Linked DNA regions of Nothobranchius furzeri. The protein of the gene in region 1 interacts with the protein of each later gene in a biochemical or structural test. Links are inferred from orthologs where the notes say so. Each region holds a gene or a part of one and is shown in the gene's direction. Other genes may lie near its edges.

Region 1 (4,105 bases):
CTGGATTCGGAGCTGCAGAGTTTTTCCATGTGGTTTCTCTTTTTTTCCGAATGCCGCATGTGGATGAAGTTGACAAAATGACATGAGCCGTACAGGAAGTGGCTGACATTTACTATTTTTTAGATATAGGCTGATATACCTCCTTAGTAAAGTGGATTTAAAGTCAGGCACATTCCCGGGAAACCCAGTGCTGCTGCAGAATTTAATTTAAATGTATATTTACGTTCCTGAAGAACATCTGTGTAAAAAATGCTCTTATTTTCAGCTAAAATTTGTTTTTATATACCAGTTTTGAACATTTAATACTTGGTCAGTTGACTGATTTGTTTGATTAACTTCAGTTAGATGTCTGATTTTCACTCTGAGCAGTGCATAAATTAAGATTTACCAGTTAGTTAAATTCAGTGTTCAAAACCTGAATTGGTTTCAGAAATGTTGTGCATCAACTGATGTTTTAGTGCCATTTCAGCATGAAAGTAAGGTGGAAATGCCCAGATATCAGCCATGAAAATCATCAGCACATCGGCCATCGGCTGACCACGACCTTTACATATAGGCATCGCTATTGGCAATAGATGAGCTAATATTAGTCGACCTCTAGTTCTGATCTGCATCTGTTCCACACTTGGTGTAAATGAGGCTTTAGTCTTTTGTCCAGATGCAACAGACAGATGTTCAGGCTGATGACCTCTGATGTGCATGTGATGCAGAGCAACTCAGAGAACAAACATCAGACTTAGCCTTACACCAGCACAAATATGACTTGAAAGAAATGATGGCTTGCTCAGTATGTTCTGGATGTGCAAATAAGTGACTCTTTAATAATGTTTATATCAGGTCAAACTTTGACCGTGCCTGTTGCTGTGGGAGTGTTTTACACCAAAATGGAAATAACTTGCATCCAATTCTGCTTGATTCGTAGTTTTGAATGTAGCGAGACCGCCAACATTATCCAAGCGATAGCCAAAATGTAACTAATGAAAATAAAGTAGCTGGTTTTATCTCTGGGCCTGTCGAGTCATACGTTTGTGAGAGGAAGTGTCATTAAGTCAATTTGGCTGATGTAGACAAAGTTATTTTTGCTGCAGTTTCATATTCTAACAGTACGGTCTCCCGTCGTACTCAGTATGCACTTCACACAGAGACAAAAGCAGACATTTCCATGGGGAAACCAGTTGTTGCTGGTTCTAACCAGCACATCTCCTTCACTGCAGAATTCCCCGTGAGGCCGTTAAAATCTGCTCAGGTCCAGCTCTGCCACAAGTTCTTCTTTTCTATTTCTGAGATAATGGTGATCATGTGTGACTCAGTAGTTGGTTGTCTGTCTGGTTTGAATAGCTAAATGAAACACAGTTTTGTCTTTCAGATCTATTCTTCATCAGTGACATACAACAGTGGAGTTATTCTGTAGAGACAACATCTGATTCTGTTACACTCTGCACAGAAAGGACTCGGGATACAGAGCTGAATATTCCTGCTATTGTATAATAAATGCTCATATCTGGTTTTCTGCTTTATAAGGGGGTATTGAAATTGCAGCATTATGTTTTAGTGACAGTTATTTAACCCTCACATATTTCTACCCTGCTATACTTTATCTCCTGGTGTTGATTACAAGACTTTTTCATGTCTGGTAACATTTACTAGTTTCCTCTTGATGAGAATGAACCCTCTGTAGCTTTAAACGGCTCACGAACCTCTACATCTTAACCCAATGCCATATTAATGATTGTGTAAATGACCCTTCCCGGCTTTAGCCTGTTGTTTCTGCTAACTCAGAAATCAGCTCAGACATTTCCGTATTTCTGCAGGAACACAGGATTACACTCTCTAAGAATTAGCTGCTATTGCTAAATAGATCTTGTCTAGTTTCAGCATGTAAGAAGGAATTGGTTCATTATGGTTGTAAAGTTGTAAACACTGGCTTTTTTGGGATTTTGAAACGTTCACGCATTCATCTTCAATTCTGCCATAATGTTGACCACTGATTTAGCTCAAGCTCAGTAGTTTGGCTTATAAAAACACACCATGTGGACTTTTAATCTGCTAGAAACGTGATTTCTTTCATCGTTGTTTTTGAAGATGCAGCTGGACTAGACTGTTGGAATATTTTAGGGATTACTTTTCTACAGCGATCTGCGCTGACAGGATTTTTTATGAGCCGCAGACTTCTTGTTGGATTCTGCTGATGAGCTCTTACACCTGTCTGATTCTGTTCCCTTATTTGGTCTTGTGTTTAGGCGAAATGGAGCTGTCACCCACATTAAGATTCAAAATACAGGGGACTACTACGACCTCTACGGTGGGGAGAAGTTTGCCACTCTTGCAGAGCTGGTGCAGTATTACATGGAGCATCATGGGCAGCTGAAAGAGAAAAATGGAGACGTCATCGAGCTCAAGTATCCACTCAACTGTGCAGACCCCACGTCGGAGAGGTATGAGCTCATGTCCATGATTCTACTTGAATGTGCATTTTTATGCAATGCTTGGTGATTTTTAGAAAGTAAAGTGACAAAAGTAAAAACATCGAGCTGAAACACTCGCCCGTGTGGTGCAAGAGGCTTCTGATAAAATCTGAATCACGATTTTTGTTAAAATTCTATCAAACAATTCTTTCCTTCATTTGTTTTCAAGTTAAAAAAGCGGTTTCTTGGGCATGAATCCAAAAATTCAATGAGAGATGCAAAGAACAAAAATGTATTTTAAATCTTACATTTCATTACTTTAGTATAATGATGCAGTAATATATAAAAAGAGGAATCGTGCATGTGCTGTTTGGACTTGGCTACAGCAGTCTGTTGTGATGGTTGTGATTTCACGGAGGACCAGCAGCAGATGTTGACACGCCACAGATGTTGTTTCTGGGTTCCAGACTGAATAATTATCTATGTTCTGTTGTGTGTGTGCGAAATCTGCCCAAATCTGTCAACAAAACACTCTAAAGCAGTGAACCTCAACTGGTGGCCAGCGGGCCACATCTGGTCCATCACACCTCTCCCCCTAGCCCTTTGGGCCCTAATGCCCCCCAATTGGGGGACTTTTTTAATCATTTTTTTTATCTTTCTTTTCATTTCATTTTCATTTTTTTGTTTTTGTGAAGTGCTTCATGATTTTTATCTTGAGGTGCTTTATAAACAATTGTTTTGTTTCTTTCTTTTGAAGTTTAGCAGCAAAATTCATGTCCCAAATATCAATAATGGTTTACGTTCTCCAAACACAAAAATACAATCAAAGCAGTTTAGATGGAAAACAAATTTTAAATATTAACAAATTAGGATACAATAATACTTGAACTGTATTTAGGAAGAGCATCTGGCACTTGAACACATGTAGTTGAGGACCCTTGCTTTAAAGTGTCAGATGGAGTTTCTGTCTGGTCCATCTTTACTGTGTTTCATTGCAGTGATCATGCTAACACACACACTGAAACCAATGACTGGGGCAATGTTTCTGGTTCTTTTGGCTTTAGACAGAGAGCTGCGATGTTTACATGCAGCCTCAGAGGAGGAAAAGAGAGAGAATTCCTTACTGATTTGGAACCAGTCATGGTGTTTTTGTTAGCATATCTGATTTGTACCTTCTGGGATTGTAAAGTGAAGAAAATAACTGAAAGCCAGAAAATACACATAGGAAGGCAAAGCGGACCAAAAATACCTTATATAGTCCCGTTCACTTATATTCATTCCTTTTAGTTCAGAGGACCCCTGAGCCGACAGGAGGGGAAGGCATTTAGGCTTCCTGGAGTCGGCGTTTATTAAAACTGAGACCACATGTATGTGAGAATGAAGTTTGTGATTTCTGATTTTATTTAGTTTTTTTCAGCCGTGCTGTAATTATCTCCTGGTTTGTTGTGGGTTTTTGAGGGACAGAGGGATGCTTCAAATACAAACAATCCTCCGGTCCAACATTGTAATTTGGGGCTGTAATACTTTTTTCTTTATGTTCCTTTGAAGAAAATTATAATATTGTTGTCCTTCAGGGTTCAGCAAACATTTAAATGAATGAACCACTCCTAAATCTGATTTTAGATTGGACACTTTTCATCTCAGAAGACTGAGAGAGCCAACATATAATCAGATTTCAAGGTTTTTATTATCTGTCGTCT
Region 2 (4,895 bases), on another chromosome or scaffold:
AGGATCAAACCACTTTTGAGGAGGGGGAGGTTTGCTGCATTTTTGTGGTTGAAATATAATGTTTCAACCAAGCACTATATGCTTTTTATATTTTTCAAACACATGGTAAAAATAAATGTTTCATATTCTCAAATTTTAGGGGTGCATTGATTTAATTTAGGGGTGCCTCAGCTCCCTCCAAAATGGGCTAAAAATGCCCATGACCTGTATGAATCCTGGCTTGATCTGTGTCAGGCCCCAATGAGGCAGGGGGAACCCAACAATGCACCAGCATTAGCACAGCCACTTAGCCAGAGGTGGACTGTGGAGAGCTTCTTGTCTTCTGCGCGTGCTTCAGTCGCAAAAAATTCTTTGTGTAAGAGGGGGATCCAGTGTGCATGCCCCAACTACCATAAGTCTATTTTAAAGATTTCTGCTCCCCAAAGAAACAGGAAATGCATCACACGACCTTTCGGTCGTGGTAAGACTAAAGGCTGATTCATGCTTCTCCTTCTGCGTCAGTGCGGAGACACGCAACGTCATTATCCGTCCTTGCGTAGGGCCCCGGCAGGCACGCAAGTACGTACGGAGTCGAGCCAACTTTTTTAAACATACGTCAAACGAGACGGAGAACGCAAGCTTGTGATTGGTCAGGGCACCACTGTCGTCTACACCGCCGCCATTGCGCCCTCAAAATCATAAAGAAAGCCGAGAATAACTAGTGGCAGACACGGAGAAGCTTGAAGAATACCTCGCGAAAAAACTCTAAAATATGAACGTTTAATTGCCCCGTGACTGGAGGAGTGAAAAGTTACGCAGCAAGCATTTTATTTGTGGACGGAAATGACAGGAAACGTGGGTTTAGAGGTGGCGAGCGCATGAAGAGGTGGAGGAGAATGAGAGACAAATTTGTCGTGTTAAAAAGTCTCTTATTTACAAAAAACACAATATAAACACACTATGTTGGACTGGATACATGACAGGATACCACAGAACAGCGCTACGCCCTCTGTTGTCCTGACGGGGAATTGCTTTGCAACACTTCCCAGGAGACGAAGAAGTATGAGAGCAAAACACTTCCGTCAATCCGTGTGTGTCTGTCCCTTGCGGAGCTGACGGAGAAGCATGAATCAGCCTCCAGAGGACATTTTTAAACCACACTTAAATGCAGAATAAACAGAGCACTTATACTCTGTATAATTATAGATCATTTCATGGAATTTTCAGGGTGTTTTAAAAGTATGTTAGGATTTCTATCTTCTTCTTCATCTCCCTGTGAGACTGGTAGGGTGGCACCCCAGCGCTCCCTGTGACCGCCACTGCTCCTGAACTATTTTTCTGAACAGAGGCTGTTCAGGACGTTATCTACATCACAGCATTACTGTCCATCTATCTGCTTTTTCAACCATCTGCTCATATTTTGTAATTTTGAAACCGTTTTTCCTTCAGCTATAATGTCCTTTATACTAAAAATGTTTTCTAACAATATTGTCTAAGCCGAACTGGAGCGGCAGGTGCAGCGGATCAGGAATGATATCCTTTAATATTGACTCTTATTCCCCAGTATTGTGCCTGTTCCGAGCTGTTTACTAACTGAGGAGCATTTCTGTTTCTGTCTCAAACTTCGTGCTCACATCAGCTCAGCACGCGCTGCAGCCTCACTGCCATGCAGTGTTCACGCGCTGAATTCTTCTGCTGATTGGCTGGAGGCGAGACAAACAAAGGATTTCGACCAATCGGAGCCATGTGCACGCGCTGAGTCACAGCGGACGTCCCAGCTGCACATGCTCTGCACGCGCTGCTGGTATAAAACGGTCAGAGTCTTTGTTTACAGCAGAGAACAGGGAGCGGTTTAGGAGGGGATAGCTGTCTAACTTTCGGGCGTTGTAACGCGAAAAGCTCACATTGCTGCGCGAGTTGGAAACAGAACGCAAACATGGTGGCAATGACGAAAAAAGTGAAAACCTTCCAGGTCGTCCTGTCGGACCCGTGCAAATCGTTTTACTGCGGCGGGGACCGGGTCAGCGGTCGGGTCGAGGTGGAGGTGTCCGAGGTGACCCGTGTGTCCGCCGTCAAGCTGCTGGGTCTGGGCTGCGCGAAGGTGGAGTACGCTAAAGGCAAGCAGCGGTGCCGCCAGGAGGCCGAGTACCTTCGGTACGAGGAGGTTCTGAGTCTGGGCGACCAGCCCGCAGGTACATGGGGTCCGGGGATTCTCTCTGGGGCATCATCACAGCAACATGCTGATCACAACCGTCTGTGTATCTTTCAGACTCGGACGGATCCGTAGTTCTGAGACCCGGTAACAAGTATGAGTACCCGTTTGGGTTCGACCTTCCTGAGCAGGGGTAAGTCGGACCCAGTCCATCTGGGTCTAGGACGCATCACTGACCTCTAGAGGTAATGCCTTGGGTTTTAACAGGTCTGCTGTGTTCGTTCTGGACTTTCAGTCAGCTGGTGTCGTCATACAAGGGCAAGTTCGGTTACGTCCAGTACTATGTCAAGGCCCAGATGGAGAGACCTCAGCAGCCCACGGTGGAGAGCAAGAAGTACTTCGAGGTGGAAGAACCTCTGGATGTGAACACTCCGGACCTGCTGGTGAGTTCACTAGTGGGTCAGAACCAGAGCGATCTGGTTTCACTTCGGATCTTCTGTTTACATGGGAAACACCCCACTGTTTCCCTGTGCGTGTGCGCGCGTGGTTCCACCATGATACAGTAGATAAGAGGTATCACGTGACCGGCGTATGCAGGAAGTTTAGAAGTGGACTCAGAAGCTGCTCCCAGAGAGGCAGATGGTTTTATTTCAGTAACAGACAATCATGCATGATGACTGGTTCCAATCAGCAGCTCCTTTTTACACACCACCACAGTTCTGGTGATGACAAACTGCTTCCTGTGTCTTCAGTCTCCTGCTGGCGGCATGAAGGAGAAGAAAGTCACCTGCATGTTCATCCCTGATGGCCAGGTGTCGCTCAACGCTAAAATTGACCGCCGTGGTTTCTGCGAGGGTGAAGACATCTGCATCAACGCCAAATTTGAGAACACATGCTCCCGCATTGTGGTCCCGAAAGCCGCCATCATAGCCAAGCACACATACCAGGCTAACGGGCGCACCAAAGTTTTCCGCCAGAAGCTTTCCTCTGTGCGTGGAAACCACATCATCTCAGGGATGTGCGACGCCTGGCAGGGGAAGACCATCAGGGTGCCGAAGATCAAACCGTCCATGCTGGGCTGCAACATCATCCGAGTGGAGTACGCCCTGATGGTAAGTCTGCTTCCTATGGGAGGACTCTGTTAGCCCTGGAACATGGTGTTAAGGTTCCTCATTGTTTCCCAGATTTACATCCACATCCCCGGCAGTGAAAAGCTTATCCTGGAGCTGCCCCTGGTCATTGGGACATCTGGGATTGGCAGTCGCACTAACAGTGTGAGCAGCCAGGAGGGTTCGATCAGCACTGCCTCTCAGAGCTGGGTGTCCCTCAGGATGCCCGCTGAACCCCCGAGCTACTGTGACATCACTAAAGACTGCCGTCTGGACCAGCCGCTCACGCCTCTTCTAGATGATGTGGACTGTGATGACAGTCCCATCTTTATGAACGCTCCCAGCTTCCAGTTCCCATCCCCTCCAGCCTACTCTGAGGTAGGTCTCACACCAGTTAGCTCCATGGCTAGCACCAAGCTACATGTGGCATTACATCTCAAGGTTTTTTTGTTTTTCAGGCTGAGGAGTACAAGGGGAATGCTCAGATGCTTCCTGTCTGCTAAAAGTCCCGAATCCTGGAGGGGTTGTCCACCTCTCCGATTGTTCTTCTAAAGCGCTTCCAAAAAGCTGAAGGTCCAAACTCCAGATGGGATGGGATGTTGGATGGAGAGTTGAACAGAAATGCACTTGCCTGTTACCATGCTTCGTCTTCCATGCTGATGCAGAATCTCCCTCCTGGAGCTGTTTGGGTCGGAGTCCTGAAGCCATCACTTCCAGAGCCTGTCCACAGGCCCAAGAGGCATTTGAGTTGGATCCAACCTGCTGAGATGTCTTCATGAATCATTCCAGTCAGGACTTAAGGAGCTGCTGTTTCGTTGAGGTGTAGGAACAACATTCTCCTGAAGATTACAGAACTCTAATGCTGAGTGATGTTTCCAGATGTTTGAAGCCATTTCTTCATGTTTCCTGTAGCACTTTGTACTTTCTCCACGTCTGCTGACCAGGTTGTCTCTGAACAATATTTTTATGTTGGAATGACTTTTATTTTCCAGTTTCCAGGAACCTACTTCTGAGATTTGCCATTGGCAGTTTTTTTTTTTTTTTTTTTTTTTTTTTTTTTGCTGGAAAAACAGAGATTCAGCAACTCAGACCTGATGAAAGCACCTTCTAGAACATCAGCTCCAGTTGTCTCAGGCAACATTTCTGTGATGGTTCTGTAGTTTTTCTGTTGGCTCAAACAGAACTGCAGCGAATGGCTGATGTGGAAATGTTTTAATGTATCATTTATACGTTAAGTATTTTTGTAAGAAGCCCTATGGGTCTGTTTTCTATTAAAGGCACAATGTTAAATGATCTGATTGTTTTCCTTAGCTCCACCTGTTCAGGTGCTTGTAAACCAATACCTAAAAAGTTTAAACTTGAAATTCTGAATGGAAGAGAAACAAGATGATGCTGGTGTCAGACTGGTCTGAGTAGTTCAGAACTTGTAGATCTGCAGGGATTTTAACCCACAACCCTCTGAAGAAGAGAAAATCAGTGAGCAGCAGCTATGATTGAAACTTGTCTTGCTGAGGTCAGAGAAGACTGGTCAGACTGGATCTAGATGACCACATAGTCCCATTTGATGGCTGCTTCAAGCAGGACAAATAAAAGCAACAAAGGAAATATCTGGTGAATAAATTAAAGCTGTTGATGCAGAAACTATCTCGTTTGTG
Region 3 (4,105 bases), on another chromosome or scaffold:
AGAAATGCTTTTTATCTGTATATATTTTGAATCCCATCCCATAATTTTCCTGCTCAGGTGGAGCTGAATGTTACCTCTAAGGAGTCAGCAGTCATATCCAACTTGCACCATTTCACCAGCTACACCATCGAGATCATGGCCTGCAACCACCCTGAAGACCCCAAACGCTGCAGCCTGGCGACTTACGTCAGTGCCCGAACGATGCCAGAAGGTGAGATATCAAACTATTTTTGCTTCATCTAAACATACAGATTTACTTTTAGTTTGATTTTGATCAAATGACACCCGCTTGTGCATTGGTCACATAAAAAAACACAAAGTATACCATCATCACGGGTGCAAAATGCTAGGTAGAGATCAGTTTGCTCAAATGTTTCTGTCTTTGTGTGGCTCTGGCAGAAAAAGCAGACGATATCCCAGGTCCTGTGACTCACGATGTTGTGGTCGCTGAACCTCCCTACGTGTTGATTAAGTGGAACGCGCCTCGATCACCCAATGGACTCATCATCCTTTACGAGGTTTTCTACAAGAAGGTCGGAGACACAGAGGTACGTGTCAACAACACGGTAACATGGAGTGCTCCTGACGTCAGGCATAAACCTTTACCCAAACAACGCAGATTAAAACTACACTACACACACATCTAATTAAGGACTCCCCCACCTTCGATAATTTGGATAAAACACACAAAACACATACCGACTACAAAAAAGGATACAAAGCATGCTGAGGAGACAGCAGGCCAGAGACAGATGTCTCCGTTTGCTCCTCGCTGAGGGTGGGTCCAGGCGTGTTTTAGGCCGATTGTGAACTGGGTGCTTTAGGGCGGAGCGAGGTAGAGTGGGATGAGACAGCTGTTGTAGAATAGCGCCTCTCAGCACAAGGATGAAATCAGAAGGGAAAGAGGAGCATGCACCAAAAGAAAAACAAATGGCTGTGGCCGTAACTGAGAAACTTTGTCAAATCTCATTCTGAATGCCTTCCTGTGCTCATCTCGGACTCTACTCGATGAGATCTTGGACTGCCGGACATCTAAGGTTTTGAGTAAAGGTGACGCCTGGCTCAGCTCACACCATCGGATCAGTCCGGACGTTTCAAAACAGAAATGGGAGCTGGACCTGGGTGTTGGATTGTCAGAAAAGGCCTGGCACAAGACGTGAGACACAGTATTATTTAGCTCAAAGTGGTGCACCATTTGCTTTGGTCCAAAGACAGACTGCAATAATGAAGCCAGACTTAGACCCAACTTGTTCTGGACCTGCCTGACACGACAGGGATATTGGAGGCCCAATTTTGATGAACTCTCTAGGATTTGTGCGACCACTGTGCACCCTGACCCCTTGACTGCTCTGTTTGTGGTGGTCACAGTGGACGATACAGCAGATGGTAGCCAACAGCACATAATAGCTTTATGCTATTTGTGAGCCATCCTGTCCGAGTGGAAAGATGCTCGGCCTCAACCACTTTATTGGAGAAATTATGAATCATTTGGACCTGGAGAGGATCAGACATGGTCTGAAAGGGTCAGCTGACAATTTTGATGTTGTGTGGCAATTGTTTGTCTCCTATTTTTAAGAATGTACCATAAGACAATTGGTGATTGTTTCTATTACTATGTAAACTTGTTTTTGTGTACACACTAACGCTTTCTAGTGGGTGGGTGTGTCCGTGTTGAACTTTGACTGTGTGTGCAACAGCATGTGTGTTCAGTGTTGTTGTTTACTTGCAGCAAATGTGTAAATAATCTCACTGCTATTCATTGCTGCACCACCATCAGCAACTCTGTTGCTATAGTAACAGAAGCAGAAGGCTCTAATGCAGCAGTGATGGAGGTGCATCTCCACTGCACTACTCTGAAAGCATTGCAAACTTTAGCTCTTTCAAACAACCGATGCATTTTTCATTTAGGTTATTATTGGTATAATTATGATTATTAAAAAAAATATCACTGGATGGGCAAAAAAAATGTGTCCATTTACTATAAATTCTACCAACTTCTCCATCAACTATAAAACCAAGCTGTTTTTCTGACTAGTATAAAAGAAACCAAACAAGTGACTCGGGTGAACAGCAGAAGTCAGACTAGATAGTCACAAAAAAATTTTCTACCTCATAGGTCAAGAGAATTATTGAAATTCAGTGAAGCATTTCCTTCTCACCTATTGGTGTTTTTAAAGCTGCGTACATGTTCAGCATATTTTGCTAAATGACCATTTCCATATTCTCTTTGCTAAATCCATTTTTATGGTTTGGGTGAAGTAGCTGCTTTTCCTGTCGCCCTCACTGATGCTAAACTGTGTTTTTCATACGTTCTTCCAGGTTCACACAGTTTGTGTGTCACGGCCGGCTTACGTCAACATGAGCGGGACCAAGCTCCACCTTGTTCACCCTGGAAACTACAGCGTGAGGGTTCGGGCTACGTCGCTGGCAGGAAACGGCTCTTTTACAGAAACGACGTACTTCTTCATGCCTAATCGTAAGACTGGAGACTCCATCTCTAACTTAACTAAACTTTTGGTATTTGTTTGCATTTGTTAAAGGGGACATAACACTTTTTGCATCTTTTTGTGCTGCCATGTGGGTCTCTACTGTCTTTATAAAAAATCCTAACATGGGGAAAATGTTTAGTTTTAGGAATTATTTGCCTAAAACAATCCGTTTCAAAAGGTCCCTGTTTGTGATATCACAAATGGGGAAAGTAGAATAGAACAGTTTCTCATGTGCAAGAAAGAGCTGCTGCTGGAGGAGCAGCCAATAGCATCCTGAGTGGGTGACTGGTGGGCGTGGCCGGTCTGCAGCTTGTTTTCTTAAAGTGACAGAGCCCTGAAAAGGCTCATTCTGGAAGTTATGAAACTTATCAGAATTAAAACCGCTGATATGGCTCTATGTGAGAGGGATTTTTTTTACAAAGAGCTTCATAAACATATTTTACACTGACAATAGAACTATTAGAACCTAATAAAAAAGTCCCAATATGCCTCCTCTAATAACCCACAGGCTACAACCTGGTTCAAGTCTATTTCACAAGTTTATTATTACATTTTGTACCTAATTTATCTTTTTCCACTGTGAAACTCTGCCGTTCTCCAGCTGAACTGACTCTTTGTTTACTGCAGCTGATCCGGGTTTAGCTTGGATTGTGATCGGCCCGATCATCTTGCTCATTCTGCTGCTGTTCCTGGCTGCTGGTGTCATTTTGGTTATCAAGAAGAGGTGAGATGTGACATCATCATCAAGTGTGCTGTTGTGTCGTGAGATCATTTACAGCATCTCAGATTTATTTTTTTTCCTGTGGTTGTGTTGCAGGCAAAGTGATGGTCCATTAGGAGATCTCATCACATCTCCAAACCCTGAATACTTCAGCGCCAATGACAGTAAGAGTCTTGTAACACAACTAAAACACATCTGAATACGTTTTCCAGCAAAATTTTGCAGCTAATGTCTAAAATTGAAATATACGGCAACCTGTTTCTACAAACACCGACAGCAGTTGAAGGAGCGTAAAGAGAACCAAAATCAAAAGAAATGTTAAAGCTGCTGCCTGTGGCTCATTTGCGTTGCCAAGGTAACCACAGTCTTGTGATACCCTAAAGTTAAACCTCAAACTAATAGTTGCTGTGCATAAACTATTGACCATCTTCAAAACGGTCGTGATCAATGAGAGGCGGAAGAGTGTGATGGTCGTACATTTATTAATGTTTGTGTCTGAGTTTTATGTAAGAGATACAGTTTTTAATAAAAAATAAAACTTAAAAAAAAAAAGGAATTTCAGGTGAACTGGAGGGTGTACACCAGGGCTATTCAATTCCAGCACGTTGTAGTGGTTTCTCTAGTCCAACCCACTAGAGTCAGTGGTTGAATTACCTACGCAGCAGCTCATCAGGCTTTGCAGAAGCCTGTTAATCGCCTACTAATTAAAATCAGGTGTGTTGAAGCAGCGTTAAAACCTAAACATGCTGGATACCGGCCGCCCAGGCCCGGGATTGAATCCCCCTGCTGTACACACTTAACTCAGAATTTTTGGGCGAAAGAAGTCAGAAATGTTTCACATTTAATGTGTATTAAAAACACCCGTTGTGTGTGAAGTTTAAGTTTTCAAATATTG
Region 4 (4,105 bases), on another chromosome or scaffold:
TATCGGTATCAATATCTGCCGATGTTAGTCGGGTTTTTAACATATCGGTATTGGTTCGATAAATCAAACCGGGCCCATATTAACAACCGATATTTTTTCCATCTCGTCTCAATTTGTTTGCCTGTTTCAGAGGGTGGGGGTGGTGATGTGAATGAAATCATCTCAGAAGCGTGTGTGTGTGTGTGTGTGCGTGTGTGCGTGTGCGTGCGTGCGTGCGTGCGTGCGTAATAACATAAATTCAGCTTAAATTATTTCATTCTATACAAAATCTGCTTATTTTAGAAGCATTAATGTCAGAATATCTGTATCATGAGTATCGGTTATCGGCCACACCAGTGATCTTAATATCTTAATATATATTAATATCTTAATATATCCAAAAATGTAATATCGGTGCATCACTAATCGGTGCATCACTAGTCCTTTCTTCAGAAGGAAACAGCCACCATAAATCAGGTCATGTGGTAAGTAGCAGCTACGCTAGGGGGAGGAGATTCTGTGGTGACGTCATATATGCGACATACCGACATCTGGTGTGTAGTCATGCTAATTACAAACTTTTACCAGCTGATAAATCTCACAGTACGTGACTGGCGTGGTCGAAACATCATCATTACTTTTCACTTAAATAGACGTACAACTTGTGTGATCCAGGGCGTAAGGCAGAGCGGGTTAGGAGATGGCTTTTATCCCCATTGACTTGCATTCATTTTTTCGTTCCTCCGGGGACCCATGAGCCGACCGGAAGGGGAGGAGCCTTAGTGATTATATTAACCGTAGACCTCATAGGATTTGGGCATTTTAATGCCCAGTTATCAAAGTAAACAGCATTTTGTGCAGTGCCTGCCACTTCCGGACCCCCATCTGCATTTGGTGACATCTAGGTAACGTCATGTGAAACCTAGCAATAAGCAGCCATCCGCCACAACTCACTAGGGATGGAGAAGTTCGCAGGCACACACACACTAACAACTTATATCCCAAGTAGCGCTTCCATGGCTACATTGTGATTTCTTACTACATAAACGGCACCTTGGGGTTCCCTTTGCTCTGGGACACCAGGATGGAGAAATAGGCAACCCTCACGTCTCTGACTGCAGAGTTAAAGGAGGTCAGAAGGTCCTTTAGATGCAGCAGATGGACGTGGAGACGGGTTTTCTTCCACAAGCGCTCAACTTTTCTGCACTGTTGCTTCAGGCTGAAGTTAAACCAGAAAGTAGGGTTCACTGCAGGAGCTGATCGGGCTCTGACAGGACAGATGTTGTCCAGGATGGAGAGACAGCGCTCGTTAAAGCGAGTAAAGAATCTGTGTCATTATTAAGAGGAAAAATGTGACTGTGTTTGCTTCCAGGTGATTAATGTTGACGATGATGGAAACGAGCTGGGCTCAGGTGTCATGGAGCTGACCGAATCAGAACTCGTCCTTCACACCCATCGCCGCGATGATGTCAGGTGGCCATACCTGTGTCTGCGACGTTACGGCTATGACTCCAACCTGTTCTCATTTGAGAGTGGCCGGCGCTGCCAGACAGGCCAAGGTACACATGCCTATCCGAGTAACCTGCTCCACACTGGCCATGCTAACCAATCAGCTCACGCCTGTCAGCGATGGGGCATTTTAATACTGAAAACGCCACGTAGCTGCTCAGCAAGGGTGTGGCTTAACGACGAGCTCTTAGAGAGTGACAGCCCTAACCCAGAAAGGTGCTTCTGGGCCACAATAACCTTTGTGGCCCTCTGCAGTCAGAGGTGGCACCCACCATTTTTTTCTGATCTCATTGAACTAAGTTGGATCAGTACTTGTAAGATATCTATAGTCAGAAAGCAGCCAGAACCTCTGGACTAGTTCATCAACTTCCTGTTCAGCCTCAGGTAAAACCAACAGGTAAGGTAGGAAATGTGGTGGCATTTGGCTAAAGTTGCTCTGTGTCTAATGTTTCTCATGCATGCTGTCTGGACCATGGTCTGCTCAGGGTTGGGGTGGTATTGGTAAGTCTCAGATGGGTAGGCTGATCAGCTGATCAGTATTGATTGTGCTGTGGATACACAGGGATCAATATGTGTGTTGGTTTTGTGCACCCTACAGTCTCAGTGACTCGTGTGTTTGCGGCCTTTGGATGTGTTTTCCCTCTTCCTCGTCTGTCAGGTGTTGAAGTCAACTCCACGTTGTCCCATTAGACCTCCTGGTTCAGCCCCAGACTGTCGTCTCTCCACAGGTGTCAAATGGGCCATTCCCATCTGTACCGGGTCGGCCCGGGCCGGGTAGCGTAGGTTGTTTACATATCTGGGTGGCCTGGTATTTTTCCGGGCCAACCAAGGCTCATTCTCAGCCCTCTTCTCGAGGGGGTCTGCTTCAGGCCGACCAGGGCCAACACACCCACTGCTGACAGCAAATTCACACCTTCCATTAGAGCAAGCCTCTGATTGGTGGGTAGAATCAGCCCACATGGGCTTAAGACAAGGATGTGTGGAATCAACCGGGCCAGGCTGGGGCCGACTGGGGCTACCTGGCCCGGGCCGACCCGGTACAGATGGGAATGGCCCAAAACTCTGGTCCTCGAGGGCCGCTCTCCCACCTGTTGTAGTGTTTTCCTGTTTCAACACACCTGATTCCAACCAACAGGTGATTAGCAGGCTTCTGGAGAGCTTGATGAGCTGCTGCACAGGTGGATCGACTGTGTTGGAACAGGGAAACAACAAAAAGATGCAGGACACCGGCCCTGGACGGCTGGAGTTGACACCTGTGGCTTAGACCAACCAGGGGCACGTTAGCGCTGTGATGGAGTTAGTGGGCTGACCTGCTCTTGTGTTGATGGCCCCCGTGTCTGCTGAGCGTTTGTTGGACTTGGTATCTAAGCTAAGACCTGCTGGTTACCCACATTACCCCATGCTAATTAGAATTTTAGGATGTTTTTGAGTTGTTAACTCTAGGAATGGGCGATGTGGCCTAAAATCTCTATCGCCCTCATTTCTGAAGCTCATGTGGTGATGATACTTATTGCAATATGTTCTTTTCCTGTTTATACATGTCTGAATGACAATCTCGCATACCAGATGAACTGCAGAACAGATGAATCCAAAAAGTATTTGATTACTTTTCATGTTCAAAACTTATTTAAATTAAAATCCTTATGTTAAGGTTCTTTTTCCAATAAATGCAACAACTCAAAATGATCCAAAATGGGTTTAATGAAGGCAACTGGATTTCTTTGGTTTCACTTCTCGTCCAAGGAGCTCTGTCAGTTCAGACGGGAATATGGGAGAGTCGAGCTTAGAAGCTGTAGCTAAGGCTGATGGGGCCACTAGTGTACTGGGGAGTTGTACGGTGCCTGTCTGGTGACTTTAGGGTTTGGTTTCATCAAATATGTTGTGGTCAAACAGATCAGACCCTAAGAGGCTGAGTCCCTGACCATAGCCCTGACCACTTCCTGTCTGTAGACACTGGGGTTGCTCTGGATTTGGTCCAGATGTTTGGAAGAACTTGGTCTGCATTAGAGCTCAAATGACCGTCAGTTTTTGCAACTTTTCTGGTTTGCAGCTGCTCTGAAGGCTTTGATGCATTTCTGAGAACAGTCGTGTTCAGCATTTAGATGGTGAAGGGAACTGTCTGACTGCCTTGTCTGAGTGTGTCAGAAGCTTACCTGTCGCAGGTAAATCAGGAGGAGGACAGGTGAAGGGAGACCTGGAGGAGTTTATGGAAGGATGAATCCTTCTAATCAGCTGAGGAAACATCTTTAGCCACCTTGTTGCTGTTCAACTCTAAAACGTGTGTGTGTGTGTGTGTGTGTGTGTGTGTGTGTGTGTGTGTGTGTGTGTGTGTGTGTGTGTGTGTGTGTGTGTGTGTGTGTGTGTGTGTGTGTGTGTGTGTGTGTGTGTGTGTGTGTGTGTGCGTGTGTGTGTGTGTGTGTCTTGGTGGTTAATCATTTTCATTTTGTGTGTTTTCAGGTATTTTTGCCTTCAAATGTTCTCGAGCTGAAGAAATTTTCAACATGCTGCAGGAGGTGATGCACAATCACAGCATCAGTGTGGTGGAGGAGGCAGTGGTGGACCCCAATCAGCAGGGGGCGCTCACACCTGCAGGTACACACACACTCTGATTTTAGCA

What was found.
Region 2: the proteins of ptpn11a (region 1) and txnipa are reported together in a solved structure, tested with the Homo sapiens proteins (2 studies listed by BioGRID, with this or other methods). The link is inferred for Nothobranchius furzeri from reciprocal best matches to the Homo sapiens genes PTPN11 and TXNIP.
Region 3: the proteins of ptpn11a (region 1) and insrb form a complex in vitro, tested with the Homo sapiens proteins (2 studies listed by BioGRID). The link is inferred for Nothobranchius furzeri from reciprocal best matches to the Homo sapiens genes PTPN11 and INSR.
Region 4: the proteins of ptpn11a (region 1) and fibroblast growth factor receptor substrate 2 interact in a test that uses a peptide from one of them, tested with the Homo sapiens proteins (2 studies listed by BioGRID, with this or other methods). The link is inferred for Nothobranchius furzeri from reciprocal best matches to the Homo sapiens genes PTPN11 and FRS2.

Annotation. Positions count from the first base shown.
Region 1 is NC_091746.1:40,337,610-40,341,714, reverse strand, and holds part of ptpn11a (tyrosine-protein phosphatase non-receptor type 11), read left to right. Parts: intron 1-2,240; coding exon 2,241-2,435; intron 2,436-4,105. UniProt on the Homo sapiens protein: Acts downstream of various receptor and cytoplasmic protein tyrosine kinases to participate in the signal transduction from the cell surface to the nucleus. Positively regulates MAPK signal transduction pathway. Dephosphorylates GAB1, ARHGAP35 and EGFR.
Region 2 is NC_091751.1:26,063,603-26,068,497, reverse strand, and holds txnipa (thioredoxin interacting protein a), read left to right. Parts: upstream 1-1,731; 5' UTR 1,732-1,915; coding exon 1,916-2,171; intron 2,172-2,248; coding exon 2,249-2,324; intron 2,325-2,426; coding exon 2,427-2,574; intron 2,575-2,883; coding exon 2,884-3,243; intron 3,244-3,315; coding exon 3,316-3,618; intron 3,619-3,698; coding exon 3,699-3,743; 3' UTR 3,744-4,301; downstream 4,302-4,895. UniProt on the Homo sapiens protein: May act as an oxidative stress mediator by inhibiting thioredoxin activity or by limiting its bioavailability.
Region 3 is NC_091748.1:58,179,818-58,183,922, forward strand, and holds part of insrb (insulin receptor b), read left to right. Parts: intron 1-57; coding exon 58-211; intron 212-399; coding exon 400-548; intron 549-2,319; coding exon 2,320-2,476; intron 2,477-3,116; coding exon 3,117-3,213; intron 3,214-3,306; coding exon 3,307-3,374; intron 3,375-4,105. UniProt on the Homo sapiens protein: Receptor tyrosine kinase which mediates the pleiotropic actions of insulin.
Region 4 is NC_091744.1:79,870,377-79,874,481, reverse strand, and holds part of fibroblast growth factor receptor substrate 2, read left to right. Parts: intron 1-1,351; coding exon 1,352-1,538; intron 1,539-3,945; coding exon 3,946-4,080; intron 4,081-4,105. UniProt on the Homo sapiens protein: Adapter protein that links activated FGR and NGF receptors to downstream signaling pathways.